Notamacropus eugenii: one gene and its partner. The main gene of each other region encodes a partner of the protein of the gene in region 2 in a complex. Links are inferred from orthologs where the notes say so. Each region holds a gene or a part of one and is shown on either strand. Other genes may lie near its edges.

The links. The genes of interacting proteins can lie anywhere in the genome.
Region 1: the proteins of AP3D1 (region 2) and AP3M1 are in contact, whole or in part, in a cryo-EM structure (PDB 9C5C), measured with the Homo sapiens proteins. The link is inferred for Notamacropus eugenii from reciprocal best matches to the Homo sapiens genes AP3D1 and AP3M1. Residues at the interface, in NP_003929.4 of Homo sapiens: Lys29, Glu388, Gly389, Thr390, Thr391, Arg393, Glu429, Arg432; in NP_001307192.1 of Homo sapiens: Ser25, Ser27, Asp30, Tyr31, Glu34, Pro52, Asp104.

Annotation. Positions count from the first base shown.
Region 1 is NC_092872.1:236,273,796-236,281,679, reverse strand, and holds the start of AP3M1 (AP-3 complex subunit mu-1), read right to left. Parts: upstream 3,024-7,884; 5' UTR 2,923-3,023; intron 2,540-2,922; exon of another isoform or gene 2,437-2,539; intron 1-2,436. UniProt on the Homo sapiens protein: Part of the AP-3 complex, an adaptor-related complex which is not clathrin-associated. The complex is associated with the Golgi region as well as more peripheral structures.
Region 2 is NC_092875.1:64,318,307-64,325,514, reverse strand, and holds the start of AP3D1 (AP-3 complex subunit delta-1), read right to left. Parts: upstream 3,068-7,208; 5' UTR 2,726-3,067; coding exon 2,630-2,725; intron 1-2,629. UniProt on the Homo sapiens protein: Part of the AP-3 complex, an adaptor-related complex which is not clathrin-associated. The complex is associated with the Golgi region as well as more peripheral structures.

The DNA of each region.
Region 1 (7,884 bases), on a different chromosome or scaffold from region 2:
GGTAAAAACACTGGACTTGGAAGACTTGGGTCTGAATTTTATTTTTGACACTTACTAGTGTCTAGGTTTTAATATATTCTCCAGTAGGAATTATACTTGCAAAATCTTCTAACAGTGTCTTCTAATATGAAATACTCCTGTGATCTTACCTTTCCAATTTCTAGTCTGATCACTCCTCCAAACACAACTACTGGCACAACTTCATGCTTTCCCCTCTCTCCACTCAGGATAACCCCCCACCCTTGTTAGAATCCTACCCATACTTCAAAGGTTCCCTCTGAAATCACTTAATGGGATTGGTTCACATTGCTTACAGGACACCTAGCATGTCCTGCCTCACGCTACAAAAAATAGTACATTTTAAGCACTTTCATGCAGAACACTAATGCACACAATTGAGAAGATGTAAAGTTTTGATAAAGACAAAGCTTGGGTTTCAAGGCGTTTACAATCAAGGAGATAAAACAGTAACAGATATCTAGAACAGGCAATATAATACAGTAGAATCACTGGACTCAGATGTAGGAGAAACCAGGGTCCATATATTATTACCTTTGGCACTTTGACCCTGGGGCAATCACTTTACTTCTCTGTGCCTTAGTTTCCTCATTTGTAAACTGAGCATAATACTTTTAGATCTTTAGAGAAATGAAAATATGTGAAAATATTTTGTAAAATACGAAGTTAGCTATCATAATACATAATTACATAATAACTGTGTGTAATGTTTGAGAATAAAGCATTTCTTATGGAAAGGCTTTTAAAAGAAGGGTGGGATTTCAACTGGTGAAAAAAGTGGGGGAGAACTTTCCAAGTACTAGGAATAGCCTTGCGAGAGACAGCAAAAGTTAAGTTTCCACGGTAAGTTATTGTTAATTGATGAAGCCATTGAGAATAAGTTAGATAATAAGGCGGCCAGCAGACTGCAGGTGGACTCAACCAATCAAAAGACAGACAGTGGCAATCAGAAAATTAGGAAGCTTTGGATAAAGGAACCAAATCTACAGTTAGCTGGAACTAGTCAAGAAAAATGATGTAGAGTTACTGGGCTTGCTTAATGAACTTCATGCATATAAGCAGACACACCCTGCATAAAATTATCCCTCCATTTTCTGATCATGGGTCCTATGTTAAAGCATGTTTGGGGGGAATCACAGTAAGGGGGGGGGTTATGTAATGGGCATGTAGAGAAGATGGTGACCTAAAGGAGGACGACCAATCAAACTCCTGGTGGGAGAATCTGTCTTGAACTAAAGGTATATACCTCATGCATTCAGTGCTCCCTCCTCTTGAAATGAGGGTGGAGGTCCGCTTTGGCCAAAGTGTTCAATTCCTCTGAACTCTGCTGTAATAAAATTTCCTTGACACCTTATTGGTGTCAAGCATGTTTCTAACAGTCTGTACAAACGTACAGTTTTAAGAGTTCAAGTGTTTTTAGGGGTGTGACTCTATGTGTGGGAGCGAGTGAGCCTTTGGAGTGGGAGAGACTGAACTTTTTACTTCACAGGTATTTTTTTGAGCAGAAGAGTGAGTTCCGGCAGTCCTATTTTAGGTCCTGGGAAGGAGAAGGGAAAGATCTGAAGGCCACTATTACAATAGTTCGGGGCTTCACATCCATCCAAGGAAAGCTTACCTGTAAGAGCACCTGGACAGCTCCCCTAGGGCTGCCCTCCTCCCCACCACATCGGGAGCAGAGGCCCTCCATTCCTTTGCTCATCTGACGCCCCTCAGCCTGGGCACTCTGCCTCCGGACTGGGCTGCTCTGCTTGGAATCTAGCCTCTATCTTGCCAGACCCAGACCATGCTTCCCATCTCACCCAGCCAACCTCCAGGGTCTCAAGTCCTTCCTGGAGCTGGCATAGGTTCTGCTGGAGCATGGACAGCCCTTTCCACTCTCATGTCTACATTTCTCTTTTGTTCAATAATAATAATAAACAATTCCACACTGCTGCTGCTATGGTCAAGGGCATGACAAATCAACTAGACTGTCCGTGGGTCAAGCCTTTCTCCAAGGCTTACTTTGTGCCCGAACCTGCTTTCAAGTGTCGCGGAAGATAACGGTCTTCCACAGGTACGTGTATGCGCCGTGTGCTCCGATGCCAGCGGAGCTCCTGGAGGAGGGGCGAGTCACTTCGGCTTTGAGTCTTAGTGTCTCTGTCTGTGAAATGAGAAGACAGCCGGACACTTCTCTACCCCCCCACCTTGACAGTGAAACTAACTGTAAAAGACGGAAAAACGAACGTGTGAGTGTGTGTGTGACACGGTTTTGGGGACGCGCTGGGCAGCGCGAAGAGCCGGACCAGAAGTTACGGGAAGGAGGTCCATGAGGACCCTGGCCAGGGTACAAACACGAGCTCCGGGGCTCCCCCGGAGTCCCACAGACGCAGGGCCGCGAGGTGGCGCAGGGGAGAGAACGTCGGCCCCGGCCCGGAGTTCGGGTGATTCCGAGCAAGTCCAGGACCCTGCCCGTCTCCTCTCCGGTACAGTGAGGATTATAACGATGCCTCCCCCCGGGGTGGCTGGGCTTTGAAACACCGAGGTAAGCGATCGCTAGAATGCTGGCGGCGAGGGTAATAACCAGAACAGGCGTTGGTGCCGGTGTCCCCGGCATATAGCTGGCGCTTACTTAGCACTTGCAGGGTGGATCATTGAGGCACAGAGGTCGCAGGGACGCATCCCTTGCCCGGGCGGGCCGTAGGCCACGTCGAGGGGCCGGTGCTGGTCAGGAGGACCCGGTCGCCTCACCTGCCCCGGGGCGCGTCCCTTCCCCGGAGCGCCGGGTCCCTAGAAGCCGCCCCGCCCTTCCCCGGCGGCGCTGACGAGGGAGTGGGCGGGAGGAGCGCCGCCCCCGGCTCTGCGGACCCCTCCCCACCCCGCTTGACCCTGACCCCGACCGCCGCCCCGATGGCCCGCCTCACTTACCTCGAGGAGCCGGGCGGCCCGAGCTTAGCCCCGGACCCGTTCCGGAAGGAGGCCGCCGGCTCAGAGGCTGCGGCGGCGGCGGCGGCGGCGGCGGGGACCTTGCGGCCCGGGCTGTTTTGCTCACTGCCTGAGAGAGGGCTTCACCGCCGCCGCGCTCAGATCGCCTTCCGAAGGGAATACCTGAGCAGAGCAAAGGTCTCCAAGGGCCTAGAGAGCACTCCATCCCGAGGCAGAAGCTGCGGAGCTGTCGGTCGTATGACTCCCTGCGTTCAGGCGCCAGGGGCTGCCCGTTCGAAAGTTCCTGCCCCTCTCCCGCCAAGGCCCCGCTCGGGGGCGGGGCGAAGACAGCCCGGGAGGCCGCCTGACCTGGGGGCGGGGCGAGCTCTGGGGGCTGAGAGGGGAGGGGCTCACACTCGTGCGGCCCGAAGAGAGGGCACCCTGCGCCGGCCCTTGGGAAGGCCGGGGGAGGAGGGAGGAGAGGGGGCGGGGATTGGGTGTGCCCTCGGACGGGGGAGGGGCGCTTGTGGCCAGGGGCGCGAGAGTAGGGCAGAGAGCGGGAAGATGGCAGCGGCGGACGAGGAACCGCAGGCTAAAAAGCCGAAAGTGGAGGCGACGTCGCATTTGAGGTGAGCGCCGCTGGGCTGGGAGGGGGTGCACGTGGGGGCCGGGAAGAGCCGGGCCGCGGAGCCGCCCCGCGAGGCCCCCACCGGCTCGGAGCCAATCAGCGCGGCCGTGCGAGGGGAGGGGGGGCCAGGCCCGGCCCCACGTGGGCGCTTCGCGCTGCGTCCAGCCCCGGCCCGGCGCAGCGGAGCACTAGACCGGCCGGTCCTGGGGTCCTGGGGTCCTGGGCAAGGTATGCTGAAGGGCGAGAGGACGGAACGGGCATCGCCAGGTCGGCGTGTGTGCAGACCCCGGCCCGCGCTGGCGTGCCCAAAGGGAGAGGCGAGCCGCTGGAGCCTCTAGTTAAACATTTATCTCCGTCGTAATCGCGCTCCCTGTAAAATAATGTTACTTTTTCGTCCGCTCCTCAGTAATAAATGGAATGCTTGCATCCCAAAGCTTCTGGACTTTGAAATCCATAGGCACGCGATGACAGCGAGATTTGGAGCTGAAAACAGGCCCTTCCGACTGTTAAGAACTATCCCATTAAGGCCCGTGTGTGTGTGTGTGTGTATGTATGTATGTGTACGCAGACACACACGTGGATGACAAGAGACTGTATAGATGCCACCCCACCACATACCCTTCTCCACCCATTCTCTCTCAAGTAAGAAAAAGGCAGAACTGTGAACATGCAAACTTGTGGGCTAGAATCTGCTTCCAAGCCAAGAGGGGTGTTCTACTCCTGACTGCACCGGGACCTTGGCAAGTGTCTTAATTTTCCGGAGCTTCAGCATTCAGTAACCAGGATACAGGAATTCAGCCTGCTTCCTCAAGAGATAGGGTCAAACGAGATCCATGGGAAAGCTCTTGGAAACTGTAGGTGTTACAAATGTAGTTGTTGTTCAGTCGTGTCGGAATCTTTGGGACCCCTATTTGGGGTTTTCTTTGCCAAGATTCTGGAGTGGTTTTCCATTTCTTTCTCTAGCTCAGTTTTACAGATGAGCTAACTGAGGCTTACATCGACTTGCACAGGGTCACACAGCAAGTGAGTGTCTGAAGGCTGGATTTAAATTCAGGAAGATGAGTCTTCTTGACTCCAGACCAGGCACTCTATGCACTTGAGCCAAAGTGGAGGGGATAATGTTAAATGATTCATTTTTGCAGGCTTTGAGGGTGATTTTGAAAACTAAGCACCCGGCCCATAGGAGGTGCTTAATAAATATTCATTGATTGATTCAGTGTAGGGTCATTGGAAAAGAACACTGAACCTGGAATTATTCAAATCCCCCATATTGAATATGCACTGGGCAGTGGGCAACTCTTTCAACCTTTCTGGTCACAGTTTCCTCATCCACAAAATGAGGAGGAGTGGACTAGGTGACCTCCTATGGATCTTTCCACCTTTGAGGCCTTCTGACCTGTGCTTTTAGTGATATTTTTGATTACCTTAAAAGTGGGTTCTTAACATTTTGGTTGTTGTTGTTGTGAGCCTCTTTGGCAATCTGGTGAAACCTGTGGACTCCTCAGAATGATGTTTTTAAATAACTGAAAGCAAATGCTGAATTACAGTTGGAAGTTAGTGAAAATAAAAACTTAGGTTTTTTTCCCCCCATGGACCACTTTAGGTGGGGAGGTCTGTGGAACCCAGGTTAAGAACCCCTGCCTTAGGTGATTTCTTATGCCTAGTTTACACCCAGGAAGAAATTGCCACCATCCTGCAGTGTTTTTTAAAAAAGGATTTGGCCAAATACATATTCATAAATCTTATACATTCTAATTATATTAGGTTGTGGGTGGTCTGGTCTTTTTCATATTGTTCAGGGTAACTCTTCTACACTTGTAAAGCCTTTTTGCGTATGTGGCTAACCCTTATTTTTCAGTTCTCATCTCACATGCCTGGCAATGACACCAAATCCTTATGACAGTTACATATAAATCTACCAGACAAAGTTTACAAAGGCCATACCCTGGCTTCTGTGCTCAGCCCTTGCCATGCAAAAATAAGAAACAAACTTTGAACTTGATTGTCAAAGTGCAGAAAACAAATTTCCACCACCCTTGTGTTCTCACTGTGAAGGTAATAAAGAACTTTTTGTGTGGAAGTTCACCTTCAGCTTCCTTTTTTTTCAAATCCACACCAGCGTTTCATCTTGTGGAGTTTTTTGATGTCATTGTAGCGTGGGAGTTTGCAAATGGTGTCATATGCTCTTAGTGCCCTCTTTCCTCTGGATTATACTGCTCATTTCTGAAGGGCGACTTCTCTGTGGCTCCCTCCAAACTACCAGTGATCTCAGTATTCTTTTGACTCAGTGCCTTGGCACTGGCATGCTCTTTCCTCTCCACTTTGGCCTCCTGGCTTCCTACGAGATTCAGCAAAAATCTCACCTTCTGCAGGTGGCTTTTTCCATCTCTCCCCCAAACCACCTTGTACCTTCCCTCTGAGACTACCAGCTGTCACAAATCCATCTTAGATGTCCATGGTTGTTTAGAAGGTGAGCTCCTTGAGGGCAGACTTGTTCTTGTCTCTCTTTGTGTTTAGCATAGTGCTTAACCAATACTTTCTGACTGTTTATTGCCAAATAAAATGACCTCTTATTGGTCCTCATTTTTCTTGACCTCTCTGTAGTATATGACACTTCTGATTGACCACCTCCTCCTGCTGAAGATTGTTTCTTGTAGGTTTTTGTGACAGTGTCTCTCTTGGTTCTTCTGTCCTTATGATCCTTTCTTAGTCTCTTTTGCTTGGATTTTTATTATCCATGTCACACCCACTCTTCTGCTAGGTGGGGGGTGTAGGGAATTTCAGCCTCAAGTGAGACCCTTTGACTGAATCCAAACTTCACAGAACAAATCCCCTTAATAAAATGATTTGATCTGTAAAATTGGGACTCAGTTACAAGCACCCAAGGACCTAGAGGGCCACAGGTTCCCTACTCTTGCTCTAGGCTCTGTCTTTCCTTGACCTCTTCATTTTACTGGGACTGGTTAATGCTAATGTTAATCTCTTCCTTCTGTTGTTGATCTTCCATTTATCTTGTATGGATCTTGTTTCTACCTAGTTGTTTACATATAGCCTCTCCCATTAGACCTTGAACTCCTCAAGAACGGGAACTGGTTTTGGCCATTCCTTTGTATCTCTAGAGCTTAGCTGACCATAGTATGCACCTAAGTGCTAGTTGACAGACTTATCCACCTTCTCTTTTCTCTTATTTCTCTCTCATTTGGTGATCTTATCAGCTCCTCAATGATATGTTCCAAACTGGAACTAAATCTCTTTTCCTCTCACACACACCCCACTTCCAAACTTCACTATTACTGTCAAGGGCACCCTCATCTTCCCAGTCACTCAAGTTCCTGACCTCAGCGTCCCCCTTGACTTCCACTTCCACTTACCTTACCTATCTAGGCATTTGCCAGGTCTTGTAATTATTTTCTCTATGACATTTCAATAATTACAACACAGAGCTGCCAAAATGAATTTCCTAGGCATAGGTCTGACCTTGCCTGTCTTCTCCCTAACCCTTTCATAAATTCCAGTGGCTCCCTGCTACATATGTAAAGCCCTTTGACATTTGAAGCTCCTAACAACCAGGTTCCTCCTTACCTTTCCAGTCTTCTTCGTTCCTGCTTCCCTCCATATACTCTACAATCTAGTCATCCTGGTCTGCTTGCTGTTCTTGGAATGTGAAGCCCCATTTCCCATCCCCATGCCTTTGTACTGGTTGGCCACCAGGCCTAGGGTGCTCTCCTTTCCAAACTCCAATTCTTGGGATCCCTGATTTTCTATAATACTCAGCTAGAGAGCCACTTTCTCTTTTCTCCCTAGCTGCTAGTGCCATTTCCTCTAAGGATACCTAGCATCTCTGTTCTAAACTTGTATGTATTGATGTGTGTGTGTGTATGTGTGTGTGTGTGTTTTGTCTCCTCCATTAGAATATGAACTTGAGAGCAGGATTATTTTTGCTTTTGTTGGGGACAGAGAGGGAACAAGCATTTTTTAAGGAACTAGTATGTTGCAGGCACTGTTAAATGCTTTCAAAATGTCTCCTTTGCTTGTTACAGTAACATGGGAGGTAGGTGCTATTATTATCCCCATTTTGTAGTTGAGGAATTGGAGGCAGAAGTTAAGGGGTTTGTCCAAGGTCACACAGTGGATAAATATCTGAAACCACAATGGAACTCATATCTTTCTGACTTCAGGCCCAGCAGCTCAATCCGCTTCTTTGTATCCCTAGAGCTTGGCACAGTGATAGATGCAATAGTAAGCACCTAATAAAAGCTAGGTGGTGAAGTGGATAGAGTACCAGGTCTAGAGCCAGGAGCATCTGAGTTCAAATCCAACTTCAGATGCTTACTTGC
Region 2 (7,208 bases):
CTAATAAAAAAGTAAAAATTTCTGGAAAAAAAGATATTTTTCCTGAAGTTCCTAAGGTGCCCAAAGTCATGTCCATCATTCAATGAATAGATATGCTTTACTTCTTTACTCAGTCCTGCACCCCAACTCAACAATTTCACTATACCTAACTGTCGATTAAGTTTGCTTGGAAACAAAAACTCCATTACTCGAAGCTACTAATTATAATTAGTCTGGAAGGGGAATGATTAAATCACAAATACCAGAATATGCATTTCTTCACTGAGGGGTCATTACTCTTTTGTTTTATTAATTAAAAAATATAAACATAGCTAGAAAAACTCAAAAAGCACATAGACTAATGATGGGGAGTTAATAACCAACTCAAGAATCTGTGAAACTCAGCAATTTTCATATTTCCCGGAACTTGGGAGTGTTTATTTTGAAGAAGAGAAGACTTAAGAGAGACAGAGCAGCTGACTCAAAACCATAGCTTTAACTGATGTATGAGCAGGAAGGAGATTAAGATGTTTGACTTGAACAAGATGATCTCAAAGATACCCTCCAGTTATTTGACTCTATGCTGCCAACACTGTTCAGAGCATCCTGTTCTTCCACTGTTTTAGAAGCTGGAGGAGTACAGGATGGAACACTGATAAAGCCCTCCCTTCACCCATGTTAGACAAAACAAACAGGAGTTCATGGAAGTTCTTACTACTGCAACTGAAATGACAGGTATCAAGAGTGGCGACAAGACAATGGATGGCACATGCACCCCAGCTCCCAGCTCAGTCCCATCCTATCCTGTCCTCAGCTAGCCCTCTCTCCCACTCTAGTGTTCAAGAGGCTAAGATGATCTAGGCTGGATCTGGACTCAACAAGTCTTTTTCCTGAAGAGCTCTCCAACTGTGCTTGACTCTGGTACCGTTTCCTGGAATCAACTGACAGGTGTCAGATGGGAACCTGCAATGAAGAGTGCTGGCAAGCAGTCAGGTAAGCTGCACCTAAGGGGTTCTGGAGAGATGTTCCCACTATATTCCTTCAATTCAGTCAAAGTTAGAAGGTGTTTTTAAAGTACATCAGACAGCTGGTCCCTTAACAAATAATGCAGTCATGGATATAAAATATAGACTCTACCCAAGCTGCAAAAAATACCAGTTTCTTTTGAGTTCAGTTCATTTTTCTCTAAATGACATCAAAATATAGAAAAGCGTACATAAATGGAAACAAAGTGGCATATCCCAAGGGAATTTCCACCTTATCTGTCAATATTATACATGTAACAATAATTCCTACAAGAAATTAAATACCTGTTCCTTATCTTTACCCTTCCTAAAAAGCCTTAGGATAGGCAGGTATCATAAAAAGCAAATCACATCTTGTAAACTATTGCAGATACCGGACTACTCCTTACCAGTTTTTTTTCCCCCTCAATTTGAGTAAAGAAGAGGAAAATGAACTGTCCTCAACAGTGAGCTTTTTCAGAATGTGGCAGGATTTCAGACAACAGTGCTTGAGAAACAATAACTCCACTGAAACTGATCCTTACTTAGTTCCTTTCCCCAAAACCACAATAGCAGGATTCTAACAGTTTCTCAACATTTGTAACCGGGCTTGTAACTGTCTCATAAATGAGAATCAAACAAGAAAGGCAAACAAAATGCAAAGATGATAATATCTCAGTCTTTTGAAGTGTTCAATAACAGTCCTGTAAGACTAGATGTCGAGATATTCAAACTGACACCAGTCATCCAGAGCACAGAAAACGGTTTTGCCTTTTAAGGACGCTTCGGGAATAGTTTACAAGGTGGATACATTCAATGATACTGTTGCCACTTTTTTTCATACATCCCATCACATGTTTACTGAGCCCCTGCCGTGCAAGCCCCTTCTCGGTCTCAGTTTAGGGCCGGCTGAAGTCACATGCACTCTTTTCCTCCCCACACCCTATTTTCGGCTTCTTTGAGGTCCACTTTTCCACTCCCAAGGCCCCACTGCGGCAGGCCCTCGTCTTCTTCCTTATTTCAACTTTGATTGAATTATCGGGGATAACTCTCCGGCGGCAGACCAGGAAAGCGCTCCCGGGGAGGGTCACTAGATCGGGCAGGAGAGCTTCCTAAAGGCTCCCCGTGTCCCCCGCACCCCCAGTGAGGCTCAGCTCGGGGTTCGCCTGGAGTCCTTGCCCAGACCTGAGAGTAGAAATGAAACCATCCAAGACCCCGGGGCGTTGGGGGAAGGACGGGTGGGGTTCGGAGGGGCCGGGAAGGATTTCACAGCCCTGAGCACACTTCTGAGCAGCGCCCTGCACACAACAGGCGCTCGATAAATGCACGGTGCAGTAACTGCATAGATCAGAGGTGGTCAACCTGGAGGAGCTCCGAATTATACAAAGGGGGACATCGGGGATGCCCAACCAGAGCATCGGGGACACGGACACACGGGCACACACACACACACTCGGATTCAGAAGGGCCTTGAATGTGGCGGGGGGATGAGGAAGGCGCCCGCCACGGGGGCGGAGACCGGCTAGCCGGAGCGCCGCGGGAGGGAGGCGGCGGCCGGACAGGAGCCGACGTGGCCGTGCCACTGGGGGCGTGGGGGCAGCCCCTGGCCCCGGGCCTCCCGGCCAGGCTCGCGGGGCAAGGCTCACCTCGTCTTCCTTGTGGTTCCGGATGCCGCGGACCAGGTCCTGCAGGTTCTTGTCGAACATGCGGTCGATGCTGCCCTTCACCATCTTCAGCGCCATCGCGGCGGCGGCAGCGGCGGCCGAAGCCGGCCTGGGGCAGGGGCTGGGGGCGCCGGGGCGGAGGGAGAGGGCTGACGGGAGGGGGTCGCCGGGCTGGGCCTGCCGCCGGGGGCGCTCCGAAGCGAGGGAGGGAAGAAGGGCAGGGGGCCGGGCCGGAGGCCGTCACATCCCAGACGGAGGCAGCACGGGGCGGGCGGAGACGGCGGCGGCGGCTGGACCGGCGCCGGCTCGCTGCCTGCAGGATTCTTCCCTTAGTGCTCCCGCTCCAGTCAGATTGCAAATGGCGGACAAGATGGCGGCGTGGTCAGCTGACAGCTCTCGCCGCTCCCTCCTCCTCTCTTCGCTTCCCGTAGGCCCCGCCCCCTCATGGCTCCGCCTCCCTCCGAGACTGGACCCGCCCGGTTCCCAAGGACGCCGAATCCGGCTTCCCCCACCCCCTAGCGGCCGCGCGCCACGTTTCCTTAGCGACCCCTGGACCGCCCAATCGGAACGTCCTTGGCTCCTCCTCTCTGCCCTGAGAGGCCTTCCCTCCAACCTCTGACAAGCTCAGGCCCCGCCTTGGATTCTCCTCCGCGGGCCCCGCCCCATGGCGCGTAGCCCCACCTACTCAAGCTCCGAAACTTGTCTCACTGGTCACCTAGAAATAATAGTCACGCCCCTTCCAGACTCCTCCCCCCGTTTCTCTCGGGCCCACCCCTCCCTGAGTGACAGCTAAGGGGACAAACGTGAAAAAGACTGGGAGCGGAGCGTTGACACGCGTCCCTTGGAACACCCAGCCCCTACAGGCTGCCGGCTGCCTTGCTGCCCAGTAGCCTAGCAGGAGCTACCTGAATGGCCGATGCTTCCATTTTCTTTGGATCATTCCATTCATTCACTCATTCATTCATTCAACTGACATGTAATATGGATCTACTGCGTGCAGAGTGAGTGCCGGGGAAAACAGAAAGTTTAGAAGAGACAGAGTCCGGGTCCTCGTGGCGCTCACAGGCTGATGGCACCCACTCCGGATACTGCATGAGCAACACAGAAGAGAGATGTAGACTGCATGCTCTCTGGGGTGGGGCAGGTAGGTGGCCCTAGCCCGAGGGGGAAAGATGTGAGTTCATTAGCTGGGTGACCCTGGGCAAGTCACTTAACCTCTGCCTGCCTCAGTTTCCTCATCTGTAAAACGAGCTTTATAAAAGTACCCGCCTCCCAGAGTTGTTGTGAGGATCCAATGGAACAATATTTATAAAGGGGAGAGGGGCAGACAGCCTGGTTGTCTGGAGTGACAGGGGAAGGAAGGGATTTTTAAAATAGTAATTGAAAAGATGAAAAAGGTGTTTTTAAGTCATAAGATCATAGCTCAAGAACTGGAAGGGGTATCTGAGGTCATCTAGTCCAACCCCCCCTCCCATTTTAGGGATGAAGAAACTGAAGTAGTAACTGAATTCCAAACAGAAAACATGGAACCTTACATAGTGGGCAAAGCAAGAAAGCCTCTTAAAAGGGTTTCTGAACCTAAATGAGAGAACCTGTTGAAAGGATCTTAGACATCTCTTGCTTTAACTTTCTGCTAAGTGCAAGAAGCCTCCTCTATTTTTTTTTTATTGATGGAGTCATCTCTTTTGCCCTTCTAATGACGAGTTCTTTACCTGGAACCATTCTGTACCACTGCTGGTCAGCTTAAAATGTTAGAGATCTGTTCCTTCTATTTGAGGGTTTAGATAGATAGGTTTAGATAAATTGATTGATTTTGCCTTTCTGTTCATTCTCAGCACTTAGCATTGACACATGGTAGGTGCTTAACAAACACTAGTTGACTAACTGGCAATCAATATCCTTGTAGCTTCCTTCTATTCAATTAATCAACAATCATTTATTAAGTATCTATGGGCCAAACACTTTGCTAGTCATTGGGGTACAGGGAGAGGGGGAAGGAGAGAGAGGTGCTTGAGACAATGTTAACTTCCAAACTGGAATACTAGAGGGCATGTCTGGGAGGACCTAAGTCACTGGGATTTGTGCTCCTTGGGACCATTGGTCTTCACCTTCACCCAGGACATTTTCTGCCTTAAGGCCACCCCAAAAGGATCTCCTGTCACCCTCCCATTTCCCCATCTACTCCATTTCCCCATCTTATTCTGATAAATAGAATCCAATTATCATTATGTTCTCCTTTAATAATAATGGCTACCATTTATATAGCCTTTACTTTACAAAGTGACATATATGTATATATATTGTCTCATTTGATCCACACAACAAACCTATAAAATAGGTGCTGTTATTATCCCCATTTTACAGATGAAAAAAGTCCACCTTCAGGTCTGCAGATTACACAGCTAACTCTATCTATCTATCTATCTATCTATCTATCTACCTATATATATACATATATATATATATACATATGTGTGTATGTATATATGTATGTCTGTGAATATATATATCTGAAGCAGAATTTGAAATTAGGTCTTCCTAACTCCAAGTCCAGCACTCTGTCCAATGCACTACCAAGCCACCTCTAGAAAAGGCATGTCTTTTTTATTCAAGAAACCAAAATGTCAAAGTAGAAGGAAAAAAGTAGAGATCAGTTCTATACTATCACTAAACAATCTGATTAACCAACTCATCCCTTAGAAGAGTAGTAAATATCCAGATCCCCTAAGGGATGAAAGTAAAAGTCTTCAGGTGAAGAAGAAGTACTCAGCTGTAAGAAAGAAAACTGAAAGACTTTCTGCACTACTCTAAGAAAAACTTAAAAAAAAAATCCTTTGTAAATAAAAACAGCCTCTGCAAAGGTTTCCCATTGTTTTTAGGTGGGGAGGAAAAAAGTAGGGGAGGTCTTTAGCTGACATAAATAAAAATAAAGTTCCTCCTCTCTCCTCCTCCCTCTCAAAGAACAGGTCTCAACTAGGTCTCTTCCACCAAAGAAAGGCAACCTTGGATTTAACTAAGAAGTAAAGAAACGGCCTCTTCTTCTTCTCTCTCCTCATGTAAAGGAACAAACTTCAACCAAAGCTGATCCAAGGCAAAAAGGAAAAGGTGGGTATCTATGATGGAAGAAAAGACATGAGCTGAAACCACAACCCCAGGAAAGGGAAAGTCTGGCCTAAACACAGGAAGGATCCTCAATTTGATTTGATCCCTGGAGACATAGAATTCAACTGCTGAAGCCTCAGCAACAAAAATAAGTAAACAAAAAAAAGTAATAAAATTCTTTTATGATGCCAAGGATGACCAAGATGCAAATGTGGCAGAAGAGAATAATTTAAAAACATCTATAATCAAAGATTCAAAGAAACAAAAACAGTATGCCTATAAGAACAACAAGAATTCTTTAGAGAAACTGATGTAAGAATTTAAAAAAGGTATTATAAGAGAAATGAGAGATATGGAAGAAAGATTTGGGAATAGGATCATCTGCTTAACAGAAGAGAGATGAAAACTTACCTAATAACAAACTTAAAAATCAGAATGGAAAAAATAGAAATTAATGACTCTAAGGGACAAGAATTCTTTTTTTTTTAAGTCAAAGGATTAAAAAATAGAAGAAATATAAGTTATCTCATATCACAAACAGATTGAGAGATAACTTAAGAATCATAAGATTACCTGATCACATTTCAAGAAATCATTAAAGAAAAATTGCCTGGTTTTATATTTCTTACATTCTCAAAGGGCAGGGAAAGTGGAGTGGGAGGGAGAAAATATGAAACTGAATGTAAAATAAAATTGAATGGGAAAAAGAAAGAAAAATTGTCAGGACATATAAGAGTGCAATGAGAGGGGAAAAAAAGAACCTATGTATGACCTATCTAAAGACACTTTAAAAAAAATTCCAAGAGATGTCATTGCCAAAATCCAGAGTTTCCAAACAGAAGAAAAACACTATAAGCAGCCAAAATAAAAATCAAATATCAAGAAACCACAGTCTGGACCACTTAAGATTTAACAATTATCACAAGACAGGAATGGAGAACATGAAACGAGGTATTGCAAAAGGCACAAGATAAAGGTTTATAACCAAAAATTACCAACCATAATTAAGTATAATAATAGAAGGGAAAAAATAGATCTTCGATGAAATAGAGGACATTCAAACATTTCCAATGAAAGAACTAAAATTGAAAAGAAACTTTGAAATACAAATATAGGGGATAAAAAAATAAAAATGCAACTACAAATGAACAATCAGAAGGGACTTTATAAGAATAAACTGTTTACATTCTAATGGGAAAGGTATTCGAAAAGTTCTTTCAAAACCCTGATGTCACAAGGAATCACAGAGGTAGTCAATTGAGACAGAAGACCTATAGATAGTTTTACTATGTTTTGAAAATACTGTAAGAAAAAGGGAAATGAAGGAAGAGGAAAGGATACATTAGGAAAAACTAGGAGAAAAGATAGGGGAATTTGTTGCCACATAATTGGGTTGTACTAGTAGAACTATATATAAACATGCAAAGAGTGAGAAGGGGAAGAGAAATCACTTGAATTT